2 linked regions of the Caenorhabditis elegans genome follow. The protein of the gene in region 1 purifies or fractionates together with the protein of each later gene. This does not show direct contact. Each region holds a gene or a part of one and is shown in the gene's direction. Other genes may lie near its edges.

What was found.
Region 2: the proteins of nlp-91 (region 1) and C11D2.7 fractionate together in Caenorhabditis elegans (co-fractionation; one large-scale study listed by BioGRID). This does not show direct contact.

Annotation. Positions count from the first base shown.
Region 1 is NC_003284.9:8,220,390-8,228,888, reverse strand, and holds nlp-91 (Neuropeptide-Like Protein), read left to right. Parts: upstream 1-3,872; 5' UTR 3,873-3,986; coding exon 3,987-4,207; intron 4,208-4,281; coding exon 4,282-4,498; 3' UTR 4,499-4,574; downstream 4,575-8,499. Other genes in the region: K02A6.3 (F-box domain-containing protein), read left to right, coding at 284-410, 462-623.
Region 2 is NC_003282.8:6,151,588-6,160,221, reverse strand, and holds C11D2.7 (PUA domain-containing protein), read left to right. Parts: upstream 1-4,825; 5' UTR 4,826-4,829; coding exon 4,830-4,895; intron 4,896-4,941; coding exon 4,942-5,166; intron 5,167-5,233; coding exon 5,234-5,500; 3' UTR 5,501-5,598; downstream 5,599-8,634. Other genes in the region: unc-77 (Sodium leak channel NALCN), read left to right, coding at 82-355, 1,360-1,753, 1,830-1,901, 2,308-2,394, 2,513-2,620, 2,669-2,779; C11D2.4 (Queuosine 5'-phosphate N-glycosylase/hydrolase), read left to right, coding at 3,331-3,438, 3,487-3,581, 3,662-4,322, 4,376-4,546; C11D2.3 (BLOC-1-related complex subunit 5), read right to left, coding at 5,599-5,752, 5,799-5,996, 6,408-6,488, 7,228-7,403, 7,593-7,702, 7,767-7,785.

The DNA of each region.
Region 1 (8,499 bases):
ACTCGTCGGTTCCGTTAAGCAATTTCCTTGTCGATTTAGATTTATTGATGAAAAACTTGATTTAGTTCCAACAAAACCGTGGGTGGATCTTTAAGAATGAAAAAATTTAAGAAAAATATTCAAATCCTTTATGTCTGACAGACTTTCTGTTTTAAAATACATACTTAACGATTAGACTGGTGTAAGCATTGACTGACGTAGAAGTTGTTGTAGATCTTTAAAATCAATTGAAAACTGCTTTTGCTCGTGTGACGTATGCGGTTTTAAACTTTTTTCTTTACAGATGCCCGAACTTGGAGCGGCTTGCCTGTCGTGAAAGAATGTCCTATGGAACAGCAGTGATTCTTTCGGTGTACGCAGAGAGAATTGGCTTTGGATTATGGATTAGAAAAAATGCGCTGTTGAAACGAGTGAGATTTAATGCAAACCAAATTATTAATTAACAATCTTTTAATTTTCAGATTTGCTGGTGCCGACTTGATATGGAAGCGCAGGCAATTCACTTTGACTGGCTAAAGGCAAGATGTCGTTCCGAAGAGCTTGTTATTGTAACAATTCAGCGTAACACGAATCAAATGAACCCTGTTCTAGATGACAAATCGTACAAATCACTGTGCTTGTAAATCTTTAACGCTTGTAAAAATGACATTTCCCCAATTTCTTGTCCAAACTGTCCTGAGTGATTATTGTATTTGAACCCGTTGCTAATATTTGTATTCAATCATTTATATGTGCCTTCCCATCTATGGACTATCTGAATATAGAGTTACTAGTAATGTATGTATAAAAGTGTGAATGTATAAATAAACGTGATAAGTATGATTTTTGTTTTCGAAAATCGAATCAAGTTTACACATTTTAATCTGATTCTTCTGCAAAGTTACAATTAAGTTTCAATTTGTGCGACGGATACAATCGCATCAAAGCTGTTTTCCATAATTTTCAATGTTAATTCAATATTCAATGTTTGGTTAGATTGTTTAAAAGTTGGCAATCTTTCTGGAAACTTTTTGGAAGCATTTAATTTTTCACATATCTTGTTTAACTAAGCCAAACAGTTTAGCCATTATATAAAATAAACTTTTGAATAAATATTCATATTTAAATAGTATATTTGAATGTTTTTATGTCCCTTTCACTATAGTCTGATTCTTGACATGCACATTCATTCAAGAACTTAGCTTCACCTGAGTATCAAACAAACAATATGTAAAGGTTCCAGTGCTTCTAATGTGACGAAATTGGTTGACATTTCTGAAAAAAATGTGTCCGAGCACCTGCTTTGGTGTGTCCACAAAATTTGAGTAAGTTCCTAGGTATGACTTTTAAACTATTTCGTGTGTTGTACCTCGCTCGTAGACAAAATTAATTCATTCGTTTTACAGAATTAATATGTATCTGACGTAATTTTATAAAAATAGCAGTAAAATTTTCAAAACATCTAGCAGCTGAAGAATGGAACATATTTTTCGGTTGTTTTTGTGTTTTTACAATTTCCAAAAATCATTGTTTACAAGTTTTGTAATTTGTATTTCTTATTGGAATATAATGCATTTTGAATCACTCGAGGCATATCGTGAATCAGCTACCACTCAACAACAAATTTGGAAAACAATTTGCTTTGAGGAAAGAACGATCTTAGAAGTAGATCTCACTTAAGAACATCAGAGAACCTTGTTCCAAGTAAACCGAATTATGATTCAAAAACTAAAGAAAAAAACATAAACTTATTATTTCAAAATTTTCAAGTAAATTTATAAATGTGTTGTAATGTTCCAGTTAAATGTGGTCAGAAACCGTTTAAGTTGATGTGTTTCATTAATTAGCAAAAAGTGTTCTAATAGCATTGGCAAAGAATGACGACCAACTCATTGCGTTTAGATTTGACAATTTTCTCTGTATTTGTTTAGAAAGAGGGAGTACAGTCGCATCAAAATCTGTTTTCCATAGATTTCAATGCTAATTCAGTATACAACGTTACATTAGATTGTTTATAGGTAAACAAACTTTCTTGAAGCTTTTTAGAAACATTTCATTTTTTGAAAAAATCGAAAGATGGATTTACTCAAAGAAGAAGTTATTTCCCAAAACTTCCAGAATGTTCACCTACTTGAAAACAGCCTTCAAATCGTTGAGCGTCTGCATAAACAACTTTCGAACAATACTTAGGGCCTCGAAAAGTGATTACTTCCAAATAACATGTGTCTTGTTAAGAAGTCTGAGAGAGTATAATTTAAACTTTTTCTTTTTCAGCCCAAAAATAAAGTTTTGAAGCAATTTGAGGCACGAACATTTTGAATGCACGAAATCCATTAGCACCTTTTTTCGTGTTATGCTGGAAGGAACTTATATAAAATGTCCAAAGAAATGATAATTTAACCAAAACTAGAATTTGATTTGCAATTTTATGTTTTGAAAACACTACTTCTAAGCTCATAAGGTGTCACGTAAAGTTTTCAAAATGGTTAACATTTTTTGGGACAGGTATACTACACAAGTATAATACATTTAATACAGTAGCAAAGTCCAATTGATGTTTTTCCGGTTTTTTAGACTTTTCTTGATAAAAATGGTGAAAGTACTTAACCATCCAACTTTGATAACTGCAGTTTTTTGAAAAAGTTGATTGTCTTCATCAGATGGAAGCTCTAATTGTTGTTCAAAATCGTTCGAGACAATTTTTTGAGGTTTAGAAATAATTTATGGTTTTCAAAATATTTGTTTATTTTATAATGAATATATGATTGAGTACAACGTTGAAATTTTCAACTTTGCTCTTTGATAGAGCACCAATAAAATTTAATTTGAAAACCCATTTTTTGGGATAATTGATTTGATATGACAAAGTTTATCAGTAATGAGATAGACGAGGTATTTTGGTCAAAAACGCCTACTCTTACTTTTTAATCGGGAATTACTGGATTATATCTGGATACTATGGAATCACAATTTTAGTATGTTGTTGGTCAGCAATGATAAAATACCCGAAATTCCTTTCACCACCAAGAACGGATTAAATCTGCAAAATGAATGAATGGACTAGTTGTTTTTTTGAATGAAACACCTCCAGTTGATGATTTTGTACACATCACTTCTGTTTGGTTTTTGCTCTGTCCACCAACAATTAACCCAACTTTTCTTCGCTAATTGCTCTGGCTGCTAAAACAAAACGAAATTTGTGTTGGAAGAACAGGAACATGGAAAAAAGAGTTTGGAAGCAAAATCACGAAATATTAATAAAAACCTGAATAGCTTTGTCCATATATAAAAAAAGAGTATTGAGAAAACAACAATGGTTTTGAAAATAATAATTTGTAAAATAAAATGTCCATGTTCAATTATTCAACCTGCTCCCAAAAATCAAATATGTTTAAAACTATACAGACGATCTTTTTAACATTTTAGTTATGATTTTGATATTTTCTATAAATTTTTCGAAAATCAAACAATCTATCAAGAACTTCCAAAAAGCCACATAAAACATTTTAGCTTGGTTTTTTGTTCGGCATTTTTCAACAACCTTTCTTGGTGCACAAAACGTTTGTGAATAATTCAACAACAATTTTTCCATCCGACTGCTTATCCATTATATTTTGCAAAATAATTTTTTTCATGACAAAACTACTTTAACATTTTGAACTACACATTGATTTCTGCATTTTTCAAAACTTCTTTGATTCAAACCTTAAGCAATGAGTTGTGATTCATTCAAATTTTCATAAAATTGGAAACATCATTCGCCTCAAAAAATCATTTGTAGTTTCTAGCGTCTGAGAAATCCAGAAATCCAGATCATCCTAGGCCTCGCCCCTTTCCTTGTAAGTGCGGCTATAAAGGGCGGTGCTTTTCAATATCTCTCCCATTCATTTTCGGCTCCAGCTCTAGCCGCTCCACGTTCAGTCTTCCTGCTGAGCACCGCCCCCTTTTCTTGAGCACCTATTTTTTCTGCAATTAGCGGTTTATTTAAAAACTATACGCAGTTCAGAATGTCGTTCTCTTTCTTTATCATCGTAGTTGTATTCGCCGTTCCATGTGCATCCAATATTCTCATGCCACATAGCTTTTTTGCTACGAGGTCCGAATCAGCAATGGGGAACCCTACGAACTATCAAGCAATGAATGACGGAAAAAATAATGAAATGATTCCAACCGCTTTTGAGGGGCCCAAAGACGATCTCGAAAGTGGAAACATCAATAATTTTGAAACGTAAGTTTGTCATTATTTTTTTTACAGCACTACTTCTAAACATAATAATTTCCAAATTAAACTTGTAATTTTAGTGAACATGCTCGAAACTGTTTCTTCACGCCGGTCCAATGTATGCTGCCTATGACCGATTCTCACAAAGACGTTCAATCACTCCACGGTGTGTATTCTCCAACCGCTACCCAAGTTCGCCGGAGTGTTGACACTATGCTTACCTCTCCATGGGGATATACGGATCTTATCAAACGTAACGGCGACAACCGATTCCTCCAATGGCTCAACAGATTTTGAGTCGAAAATTTCTGTTTTTATTGTAATTTATTGAGCTTCCTTTCCCCCGTTCAATAAATCAGTTATCGAGCATTTGTCTCTTTGTTTTTTTGTGGTCCCAATACGGGTTTTACAATTAGAACGCTTTCAATAAAGCTTTTTTGTTTGATTCACAACAACAACCATTATACAAAAATTAATTCATTGCATGCTTTTGACCTAACATGAACAAAATAATACAATTTGAGTAATTTTATGCAAAACCAAAAAATAACATGGTTAATGCGTATTGTTAGGATGAACTGGAAATTAAAAAAAAGAGCGAAAAAAAAATGCACAAAAAATATCAGAATTGTTTATTTCTTACAGTTGCGTTCTATTTCAGTTGCATTTCATCAATAGATATGCCATGTTTTTTGCGACAAATTAGAAAATTGTAAATTTGAACGTTAAAAATTCAAAAATACCAGAGCCACTAACTCCTTCACTTAAGAAGTAATAATAGGAAAATATTGTTGTTGTAATTTTCGATTTTTTTAATTTACTTGAATACTTCAATTGAATAATCCAAGCAATTTTAAATTAATTTACTCAATGTTTAGCATAATGATTATAGTTTTCTATAACCGTCCGTGTTTATTTCGATTTGATTATAAAGTATGTATATGATCTAACCTCTCAACTTCCGTGTAAACTCTCACGGCACTTCATTGAAAATATCAAACTGCGTAACGTACTCGGGATTATTTAAATGAATATCAAAAATAGCTCAATCCCCCTACGCTGTTCTCGAAAATATAGGATTTAAATAGCAAATCCACACCGAAAGTTTGAAGAAAGTGATATTATTCATCTTACACATTTCGTCAAGCACTATTGGATTATAAAAGTAACATTGAAATATGCCAATGTTACAGCAGACAATGTTGCACTCGGTGCATTTTCGATACCGCAAACTCTAGAGCAAACTAGCTGGGTGATTCAGATGAAGCACATGCTTTCATTTTGTATTCCTCACTACATTCTACGTGTCCCAAAAAGCGGATGTTTGTTATAATTGAATTTCGTTTTTAGGAAAAAAAAAACTCAAGATGGTAGTCGAAAATGTTGAGTTTGTAGTATCTTGGATTTCAGAATCTTGTTAGAATCCAAACTTGAATTTTAAATTATTTATTGAAAATTCAAAGTCCCTACAATTTGCGTCATTCATCCAACCTACAGACTCTAATTCAAATGATGTCATGTCATTTTCAGCAAGAGAAGTTTATGAATAAGCGACTTTGAAGATTATATTGGAGCTTGGAGGTCTGAGAGGAATCAATTTGTCTGAACTTTATTTCTCGGAGAAGCTGGATCAAACATGCAAAATATCATTGAACAGTTGGAAGTTCCGGTACTTGTGTGTTATTTCTCCTCAGTATAAAATTATTAATTTTAATGAAACTTTATGTCCATTTTCCCTCTTTTGGTTTAGAAATAGAGATTTCCTAAGCCTAAAAATACAAAAAACTACACACGTTTTATTTATAATTTTATTTATTTTTAATCAGGAAAAATAAAACACTAGTACCGGAGTTCCTTATTATAAGTGAATTTAGTATCAGTAAATTTTATTGAAATGAAAATAATCATGTTTTGGAGTTTATTAAACATTTAGGAATACACAAAGTTTCCTTTTTCTCTCACTCACAGTTTCAATGTTTTCCAATAGAGTGCGCTAAAAATATGTATATTTCGAAATTTCAAAGAAATAGTGTAGTCGATCTATACTATACTCTCTACTACCTTTACTATACTACTCTATACTTCGAACTATACTGGAAAATTCGTATTCGAATTTTGAACAGCTCGTACGACTTTTTTTGTCCCAAATATTTTTCATTCCGGATTTAATAAATTTAACTTCTTTTAACCCCTTTTTAAAAAATTGAACAATTTCGAACTTCAGACAGAACTACATTTTCCGCAGCCAATAGTTGGAATCTGTAGATTTAATTTCATTGGTTACCTGCATAATTTTTACTTGAGATTTTGTTTTGAAACTAATTTCACCGTGTTTACTTTTCAATCGATATTCAGAATTTTATGCTTAATTGCCAAGTTTATTTTTATAACCAACGAAAGCAAAAATAAGCTAATTCACAGTTTCCCATGGACTAGAAATTATCGTAATTTCTAGATATTACTCGGAAGTGAGACAAACCACACACGTAAATTACAACTAGGAAATTGTATCAAAGTAGAACCAAGTTTTATTTGACAATGAGAAAAGTTACACAATGAGTAGATCAAAAAAGTGTGTTTTGTTTTCTTTCCCTGTAATTTGAGATCTTTTTCATGGCATAAGACTATTTCTTGTAGTCCTCTAGGACTTTGGTTATATTTTTAATCAGTTAGAGCAGGTTTTCATACCTTATTTTAAGAAGCTCTGCTAGATTATTTACCGATTAGCTATTTCAACTCTACGCTAATATTTCCATATTCACAACACAAGTAGTAGCAGCTGCAATCAACTTGAAGTGTTGATATGGGCCGAAAACAATGGAGCTATTATAACGATACGTATTTTGTGTAGGGTTCAAGTATTGCTTTGGATCAAAATAATGCAAAAATAAACCAGGAATTCACGTAGGAAAGGGATCATATAAAAGACATTTATCTAAAAAAGAAAATAATTACTTTACGATTTAAGGGTTTATGAAAAAGCGCTTAACATTTTCGATTGAAAAAATAGAAAACTTCAAAATACATTATATCAGTTGCGTGGGCTTGTGTTTTCTTTTTGTTCTTTTTAAACTCATCAATAAAATTTATTAGGATTTGTTAGCCCCACCAACTAAAGTCAGAACTGTAGTAAAGTACAAACGCATCAAATTTTTGGTTTAAAACCTTATTCGAAGCGTTAAACAAAATAGGATTTTACTTAACTTCACGTCATTTTCAAAACATCTCCCAGATTATGTAAGTAATTGCCGGGACAATGGAATGTCTATGACAAGTAGTTTGTTCACATTTTCATTTGTTATTGATGAGGTGGTCGTTGGGTCGCTGTACAAGTAGTATACGTGCTGCAAATTGGGTACGAATCATTACTCTAAGATGAAACTATATGGTTCTAACATGCGATCTGTTGCATTATTGCACACGTGCAGTAAGTATTAACAATTTCAGGCGTTTTCTCACGAGCATTCTTTGGAAACTAGTTGACTCTCGCGTTCTTGGAATCTACAATAATATTCTCAAAACAAGGAAGTGAGAACAAAATAAAGAGTGCAAATAGATTCCAAGCCGATGCGATCCTCGAATTTTCTTCTTCTAATATTACACAGTCATTTTTTTAGGGTACATAATGGACTTTGGTTGACTAACACAAAACTGAATGAAATAAATCTTTAAAAGCATCAAACTTCACTAAAACTCGATGATGTGCAAAATCCGAGTTGATCTGGTGGGAAAAATGAATGGGCGTTGGAAGGCATCAAGAGAAAACATATGATCAGATGTGTGAGCATGCCTACTTCGATTTAATTAACATAACGGTAATTTGTTTCATGGCTTAGTTGGGAATCCCCTTTTGAAATGTTTCCTGACAAAGCTTAAAACAGTATGCAACAAAATTCCTCTGGAAATGTATTGCTCTATATGTTCACCCGGAACATTTCGATCTGAAATAGTTTTAATGCATATTTGCGCAACTTTCAAGTCATACACGAAACTCAAAAAAAACGTATTCATAGACAGATTTTTGGTGATTTTAAGGGTATGAAAAAATCGACCAACTTTATGAAACCTTTTATCAAAAACTAACGTCAAAGCTTCAAGATCAAAATAAAATATTCAGGAACTTATGTATTAGCTGTACCCCAAAAATGTTTTGATTAAAAAAAAGATGAGTTATTTTAGTATTAGGAAAATTCAAATAGGAAAACTCAATTTTCAGGCTAAATATGAACATGGCATAAGAATGGTTATTTATGTGGTGACCATTATTGAAGTTTATTCATTGCCAAAATGTTGAATTA
Region 2 (8,634 bases), on another chromosome or scaffold:
AAGTCTGTTTCACGGAAGTTATTTAACTAGATTTATGTAGATTTATGATTGGTAAACATTTTTGAATCCAAAAATTTGCAGCCGTCATCATGGAAAACTTCTCATTATTCTACTCATCCGAAGAAGATGCTCTTCTCAGTTATGCAGATATTCGAAATTTTCAATATGTTTGGAATATGGTTGATCAAGAACAAAAACGAACAATTCCAGTAGAAAGAGTAAAGTTTCTATTGAGATTATTGAAAGGAAGACTTGAAGTTGACCCGGAAAAAGATCGGATTTTGTTCAAGCATATGTGCTACGAAATGGAACGGTTGCATAATGGAGAGGAAGTTTCATTTCACGATGTTCTCTAGTAAGTTGGAGAGTCAGACCAATGAGAGTTACCTGAAAGGCGTGGCCAACGTCTCTGATTGGTTAGCACGACTTATTTTTAAAATAATTGCATAACTTCTTTCAAAGCAGATAAGTTCAAGACTATTAGAGGAAATAGGCCAGAAATGTGTACGTACGATTCACAAAAAGCAGATTAATTTTAGAACGATATTGCAATTTTTAGGAAAAATACAAAAAAATTGAAAAAAGTTGGTCAAACGTTTCGAAAAAACTCACAAAACAAAGACTGAAAACGCGGGGACACTTCAAAAAAATCAAAATAGTCTCGTAAATATCTGAAAAAAATTTCTTAAAAACCACCTAGATTAAACTTTTGAAACTTTAACAGAAATAATTGTCTGCTTTTTTAAAATAAATAATATAAAAATAGACAGAGTTTTATTTTATTAAACCAAAAATGCAGATTATGTATCATAAGTTTTAAAAAGTTCAGACTTTAAGAGATAGTTGACACAATTTTATTTTATTTTTCCAGTATGATATCATATCGATCAGTAGATTTGAATGTAGTATTTTTCAATTCTTTTTCCTTCTGTAAGAATGTGTTCAAACAATATTTTTTTAAAGAAACTAGAATTTGTTAGGTTCATTTCCATCTATTCATTCCATACAAATGGAAACAATTGATGTTTTCAGCAAATTCCGATAAAACTTGAAAAATTATTTTGACAGTATACTTTGATTTAGTCTGTGACAAAATAAATATCAAAAAACAAGAACTGAAAATGCTTTTTACACTTCTGAAATTTTTTTAAACCTCGTACATTTCTGTAAATTGCGGAAAAAACAGATATTTCCCAAAAACTGCACGAATTAACTTTTTGAAATTTTATCGATAGAACTTGTTGTTTTTTTTTTATAAAATAAAGGATATTTGAAATGAGAATTACAATCATAATATAGGTCTATAAGAAGTTCAGACTTTAAGAGATGTTTGAAACAGTGTTATTTTACTTTTTCCAGTATGCTATCCTATCGATCAGTTGATATTCGAAAATCTTTGCAACTTGAAGAATTGTTACAAAGAGAAGAACTCGAGTTTATAATTGAAGAAGAAGTCGCAAAACAAACAATCAGAACATGGCTGGAAGGATGTCTTCGTAAAATGAGAAATCCAAGTCAAAAAGATGCAGAAGGAGTACTTCCATTTGGTGGAGGACATCCGGTTATTCATTCATCAGGACATTCTTCAATTTCACATGAGGAAACTGTTGCACAAAGACTTCGATTTGAAAATATTCGAGGAGATAGTGTTGATACAGAAGAGACGGAGAGTAGTGAAGAAGAAACTCCACCTCCAATAAGGAAGAAGGCTGCTGTTAAGAATCGAAGAGGAAGTATTCCAGATGTTCTTTCGGTTAGTTTTTGAACTAATATTTGAGAGTCAAAGATTATAAGCCTAACTATTTTTAAATTTCATATCCAATTTTCAGAGAACTGGTCTCTTTCAAGAAGCTGCTCGAAAGTTCATGGTTGGTAGCTCGAGTGAGAAAAAACAAGTCAAGGTATTTTTTGAATTTCTAAGTATACTTTTTAAATGATGAGTGTAGTTTGTAGTTTGTAGTGATTCATGTCCTCTGTACAGTCAGAGTTTTGTTTGGTTTTTATATCCCATCTGAATAACCCCCAAACTAACTAACCCTAACTAGACACTTAACAGTTTTATTAATTGTATTCTTAAAAAATTAAATTTTTACTAATAAATCTATATATGGTTATATCTTACTTTTGATAAAGTTGTAGAAGTTTTTTGATAAAGTTGCAACGTTAGATTAACCGCAAAATTCCATCTTGTTTAATAATTGAAAGAGTAATATTTTTATTTCAAATTTAGTTTTTTAACTGCTTCACACAAAACACTCCCAGCCTCCACCCATTTTTGCCTACCGCTTTTTCTTATTTCCATTGCAGTCGCGATCGCCTGAAACCGTCCAGTTGCTTCCGAAACGAGCTAATTCTGAAATCCGAAAGGGTTCCGGACAGCCAAAGAATTTTCATGTGAGTTCGTGTCAATGCCTTTTTTTATTTTTATTTTTTTAATATCTAGTCTGTGTGTTTTGCAGCTTAAAGTAAAATGTAAAATGTTGTTTTCGTAATAATATATTCCAAATTTCAGCTCCAGCTAAACGTCTATGATCTACCTGACGTAGAAGAACGTGGAGAAGATTCTCCATTTTCTCCCAAAAACTTGTCTGATGATTTTAATGGAGAGCATTCACCATTGGTAATTCTTTCACTTTCATTTTCTTGAAATGGTTTTCAAAACTTGTAGGTGATAACTCCATCCTTGCCTGTACCACCGACACATGGAAGCCCTCGACCACTTATGCCATGTGAAACGACAAAAGATATTGAAAAATGGTGGAATTCCCTTGTTGATTAGTTCATTTTTTAATTATTTACATTCTCTTGTTGATCTATCTTTTTTAATGTATTCAGGTTATATTGTTACGAGGTATTCAAAAACGCTTTACGAATATTAATTGTGCTTTCACCGAATGAACAGATTTTTATTGGTTTCGTATATAAAATTTTTCAGATGTTTTCTTTTCAGGTTTCCAATGTAGTCCTTAATTTTGTACGATTAATCAAGAAAAATGTTTTTATTAGCGAAACTATTAGTGGGTAATTTAATTGATTTTTAGTTAAAGAAATACTTTTTAAAACATCTGAAAAAGCTGTAAAACGACGACTTTAATTTTTTAAATATAAAAATACAGCATTTTTTGTCGAGAAATAAAATGTGTTTCAGTCTGCATTGCGTACACGACACTTTAACGTACGACAATTTGCTAGGCACTGTGCAGAAGGAGGAGACGCAGAGACACATCTGCGGAGCGTCGTAACAAACACGTTTTTCTCTTTAAAATTTTTATTTTCATTTTTTACTACTCGGTAGAATTGTCACATATTTTTCACTTTTTAGGTCAGAAAATGCTTATTGACGAAGTCCTCGGTCCTGCGGAATCTGGAAAATTCATCGTCGAGCATGGAAATCTCGTCAAAATCAACCAGGCAGGCGTTCGAAAAGTAGCAGAACATGTAAATCCTAAAAATAAATGTTGAATGAATGTAGATTAATATTTATAGATTCTCGGAGCTGCAAAAGATGGATCTCTGAAAGAAGCTCTTTTCTTATCGCCGGAATTACACCCGAAAAGTGGAGATAAAGATGCCGTCCAGTGGTGAGAAAACTTAAATTGTAACTATTCCTCAAATCTGATCTTTTTAAATTTGAAATCATATTAAATTGAATTAATTTCAGGGTATTATTGGTGGATACAATCAATTTCTCATTCTGGCCGGATGAGGGAGATCACTATGATGTTAGCTGGGGTGGAAAAGCTTACACTGGTTACTTCGCAGCATGTGCCGCTGTCAACAAGGCTATAGCCGCCGGAATTCCAGTACTTTCTGCTGAATGGATGAAAAATGTTGGCAGAGAAGAAATCGACAGGATTTTCAAATCCGATTCAGGACACTCAATTCCACTACTTGACGATCGAGTGAAGGCTATCAATGATTCAGGAAAAGTTCTTCTCGAGAAATTCGATGGACAATTTTATAATTGTGTTATAAAATCAGAGAAATCCGCTCAAACTTTGCTGAAATTAATCGTCGAAAACTTTGTCTCTTTCCGCGATTTTGCCGAATTCAACGGACAAAAAGTTTCGCTTCTGAAGAGAGCACAGATTCTCGTTGCGGATGTCTATGGATCCCTTCAAGGTCACGATGATGCGGGAAATTTCAAGGATATTACCACGATCACAATGTTTGCTGACTATCGTGTTCCGCAAGCTCTCGCTTATCTTGGTGCTCTGGATTATTCAGAAGAACTTTTGAGCCAATTGGGTGAAGGAAAACGATTGGAGAATGGATCAAAAGCGGAAGTTGAACTCAGAGGAGCATCTATTGCAGTTTGCGATGTAAGATTCCAGATATTTCTGAAATTTTGTTGTATTAAACGCTAAATTTTCAGGAAATTGTCGCCAAGATGAACGAACTTCGTGAAACCGATCCAAGATTCTCTGATGTTTGTGAAGTTAACGCCATGGAAGTTGATGTCTATGTCTGGGGATATCGTCGACTTTATGCTGCGGATGTTGAAAAGAAAGTCCCGTTCCACAGGACTCGCTGTATTTATTATTAAATCTGTATATGTAAATATTAGTATTTAATTTTTAGTGTGAATTCTAGTGATTTTAGCTTTTCGTATCATCTTCTGTTTTCATTCCGTGTTTTTTTTCTTTCACAGGTTTTAAATACTTTATTTAACACATTCCATTGACACTTCACTTTGAGCCTTAATTTGTTATATGAATTTTAACATTGTTTTTATTTTGCTGAATTCTTTTGTTTTGGTTGTATACCAATTTTTTAAACTTATCCTTGTTTTCATTTAGTTCAAATCTTACAATTTTTTTTCAAGAACCATGTTCAAAAAATTCGACGAGAAGGAAGATGTGACAGGCGCTACTCAGCTCAAGTCCAGTGTTCAGGTATCATCTTTAATTTTAATTAACTAATAATTATAAAAATTTTTAGAAAGGAATTCGCAAGAAGCTGATCGAGAACTTCCCCTACTTGGAGCCACATCTTGAGGAGATCCTCCCGAAAAAGGAGAATTTCAAAGTGATCAAATGCAAGGATCACATTGAATTGCTCGCCGATCATCTGGGTGTCGTGCGATTTGTTAAAACACGTAACACTGATTACATTCCAACTTTGAGAACACTTCACAAGTATCCATTCATTCTTCCACATCAACAGGTTGGTTATAAATTGATTATTTACCTGGTTCAACATTTCCATTTATTGATGAAAATTCAAATTTCAGGTCGACAAAGGTGCCATCAAATTCATCCTGAACGGATCTTCAATAATGTGTCCTGGATTAACATCGCCAGGAGCTAAACTCACTCCTCTCGTACCAAAGGATTCAGTGGTTGCTGTGATGGCTGAAGGAAAGCAACATGCGTTGGCAATTGGTTTGATGTCAATGAGCAGTGAGGAAATTCAATCTGTGAATAAAGGAAACGGAATTGAAAATCTTCATTATTTGAACGATGGGCTGTGGCACTTGGCTGAAAAATCGTTGAACTGATGTGCTCGAATTCCCGGTCGTCGTGCTCTTTATCAGACTTCCAATAATTTGAGATGATCTTTATTTTATATGTCCATTTTGGGATTTAATTTATATTTTCATGCACTTTCTTTTGTTGTATCTTTTCCTTTTCCATCTCGATTCTCATAAAATTTCCAAAGTTTTCCGTCGAGTTTCTTGATTCTCTTTTCTTCCCTTTCAATACGCCACGCTATTTCTTCCAGTTGAGATTCCTCATTTTTGCGAACTTGCCTGCAATTTCTCAACATCAGAGCGAAACAAAACAAACTTCACTTACTGATTCGCGTGATGAGTCTGTCGTAATGCGTGAAGTTGAGTTGTCAAGCTGCTCAACTTAAAGGCTTTCTCCGAGAAATCATCGACTAAAACCTGAAAAGAATTGTCCAGAGCACATTGATACTTCTCGGTTACTTCATTGCAAACAGCCAAGCATCCAAGAGCCTCACTGATTTTATTATTCTGCTGCTCAATGTTCCTGGAAAAATTATTTTTGCATTAAAGTACACATGAGCAAATATTATCTCGCTAGGTATTTGGCGGGAAAACTGAAAATTCGAGCGATTTCTAAATATAATTATTACCATTTTCTAATCATTCTCCGTCTATTTTGATGTGTTTCCTGCTGGCCTAAACATGCATTTATAACAATTAATTCGGCACGAAAATCATTTAACAAACAACAGAAAAAATAACAAAAATGTTTGATAGCTGACAAAATCGGCAAAACTAACTGAAAAGTTTAAATTTACAGTCTTGGCACCTAATACGAGACCCAACTGTGGGAGGCGGGGCGGTTTTAATTGGCTGTGGAGCGCGTTTCCACATCGATTTCAAAGGGAACATTCTGCTCCTTTGAAATCTCTTCTGCGTCCCCATAATAACTCACAATTCAATAGCATCAAGAAGTCCCCGCTTCTCGAAATAGTTTGTTCTCTGAGCATGTAGATTTCCCTGGATTTTCGCAAATCTAAATTGAAATTTCTGAAAAGAACTTTCTCAAACCAGGTACCGGATATCTCGTCGCGATACTACAGTAATCTACAGTTCATCATACTCCGGCAACAGTATGATCGCTATGAGATATTATCGAAAGAATACGATCGCACAATTTTCTCATAATTTATTTTTGATTTACCTTGTTGACTAGGCTCCTCCTCTTCCTTTGACAAGACAGCCACAACAAAATAACAACGGCAACAAGATCAACAGGTAGATCAAAAATATATTATGAGAAATTTGTGCGATCGTATTTTTTCGATAATATCAGGGAAGTGATTATGTTCAGTAATTTTTGTAATTTATAAATTTTGGAAGATTTCACAAAAGCTATTAAATAACTTTTTTGCGGGACAAGAGACTAATTGCAAATTTTTTAAAGCTTTTGTTTATCTCAACCGGTGAAACAGTGAAAAAGCTTATGAAACATTTGTGAATTTTTATACTTAAAATTCTCATCAATTCAATCTCACAACACGAATATGTGTAGAATTCGAAGCCGAAAAAAATATTTTTTTTAATTTAGCCGCCTTAAAAATTCCAAAGATAAATTCCAAGAATAGTCGCGGACTTCGTGATGAAAAAAAAAATTTACTGTTTCAGAACTTTAATATCTTTTCATATAATCAGGATAAAACATTCAACCACCATTTTTTGGAAGATCCTATAGAATACAAATCGAAAAAAATGTTGTTTAATAGTAAACTTACGAACTGAACGCTCTGCTCAAATAGTCAACATCGTCCATTTTTGGTTTTTCACTGATATAGTTTGAAAAATATTGATTATCAATGCACAATGACGGTGTAATTGTTGGAATCGGAGGAAGTGATGGTCCAGGATCAGATGGTATGGGTTCATCTTCAGAAGGGACAGAGGTTACTTTCTGTAATATGAAAAGTTTCTAGTTTTCCATAGATATTTTTAATTACTCATGTTGTGGTTATTCTTCACAATAAACAAAACATTCAAGCGGGTCTCACAGCGAAATAAATTTTTTAAATATTAAACATTAAGTTTTCAGTCAAAAAATGTACTGTTACGTTGAAATGTTACTATTATTCAGATAACTTACTTGACCTTGTTTCCCTTTTGACTGAATAGAAGGTAACTTCACATATGAGATCCTCCTCGTTGATTTCTGCCATCTCAGTGTTGATGAAGAAGCACCAGGTTTGTTAGAACCTTCAACAAAATTTAATTTTATCACAGGTCTAAAGAGAAAACGTAAGAAATATAACTTTCTTACCTGCAATCGATGGGAACATTGAAACTTTTGAAAAGCAAAAATAAACTCAAATTTTGAGCAACATTTTGAGCAGCAGTGAAAGGTTACTGAACCAGTTTCAAATTTTATTTAGTGTCATGGCATGGCTCTGGTTGAGTTGCAAAATTGTCCAGTGAACTGGAAGCATAATTGGCAGAAAATAAAGGCTTGAGTGGAAAAAAAAATTAAAAAGTCAGGGCCAAAAGTGATTATGAATACGGATTTTTTGAAATTGCACGTTCATATATGACGTCACGCCTCTGCACGCCACTTTAAAATTCACGTATTTAGACAGCTTCAGATACCCACCAAAATGAGAGACACAGTCTCCTCCCAGCTTCTTCCTCTGCAAAACACCGAACAACAATTTACAAAAACAACAATTTACAAAAAGTTGCCGGTGTAGGCATTAGGAAGACGAATATTAGGGCCAGGAAAACGTCCCGTTCTCATCAAAGGGGATGTCTAGTGAACAACAATAAAACTGAAAATATTCGAATAGATTAAATTTGGTATCATTTGGAGTTATTATTACTATAAATATGAAGTACTTGAATCACTACAATAGTCGCATAAAAACTGAGATATGAATAAGTCTTTTTACATTCAACAATTGAATGTCAAATTACCATTCAATATTTGCTTTCTGGACATTAACCATGCACTTTTATTCACTGTCATGAGTTTTCTCTCGTGATATTATTCACACAGCTTTTGTCCCTATCAAAAGAAATACGCGACTGTCACATTTATCTTTGTTTTGTCTATTTGCAAGTCAAATAAGTGTTCTACATTGATGCGCAGACACGAATGTTGGAATTAAACAGTTTTACAGAAAAATGGTTTACCT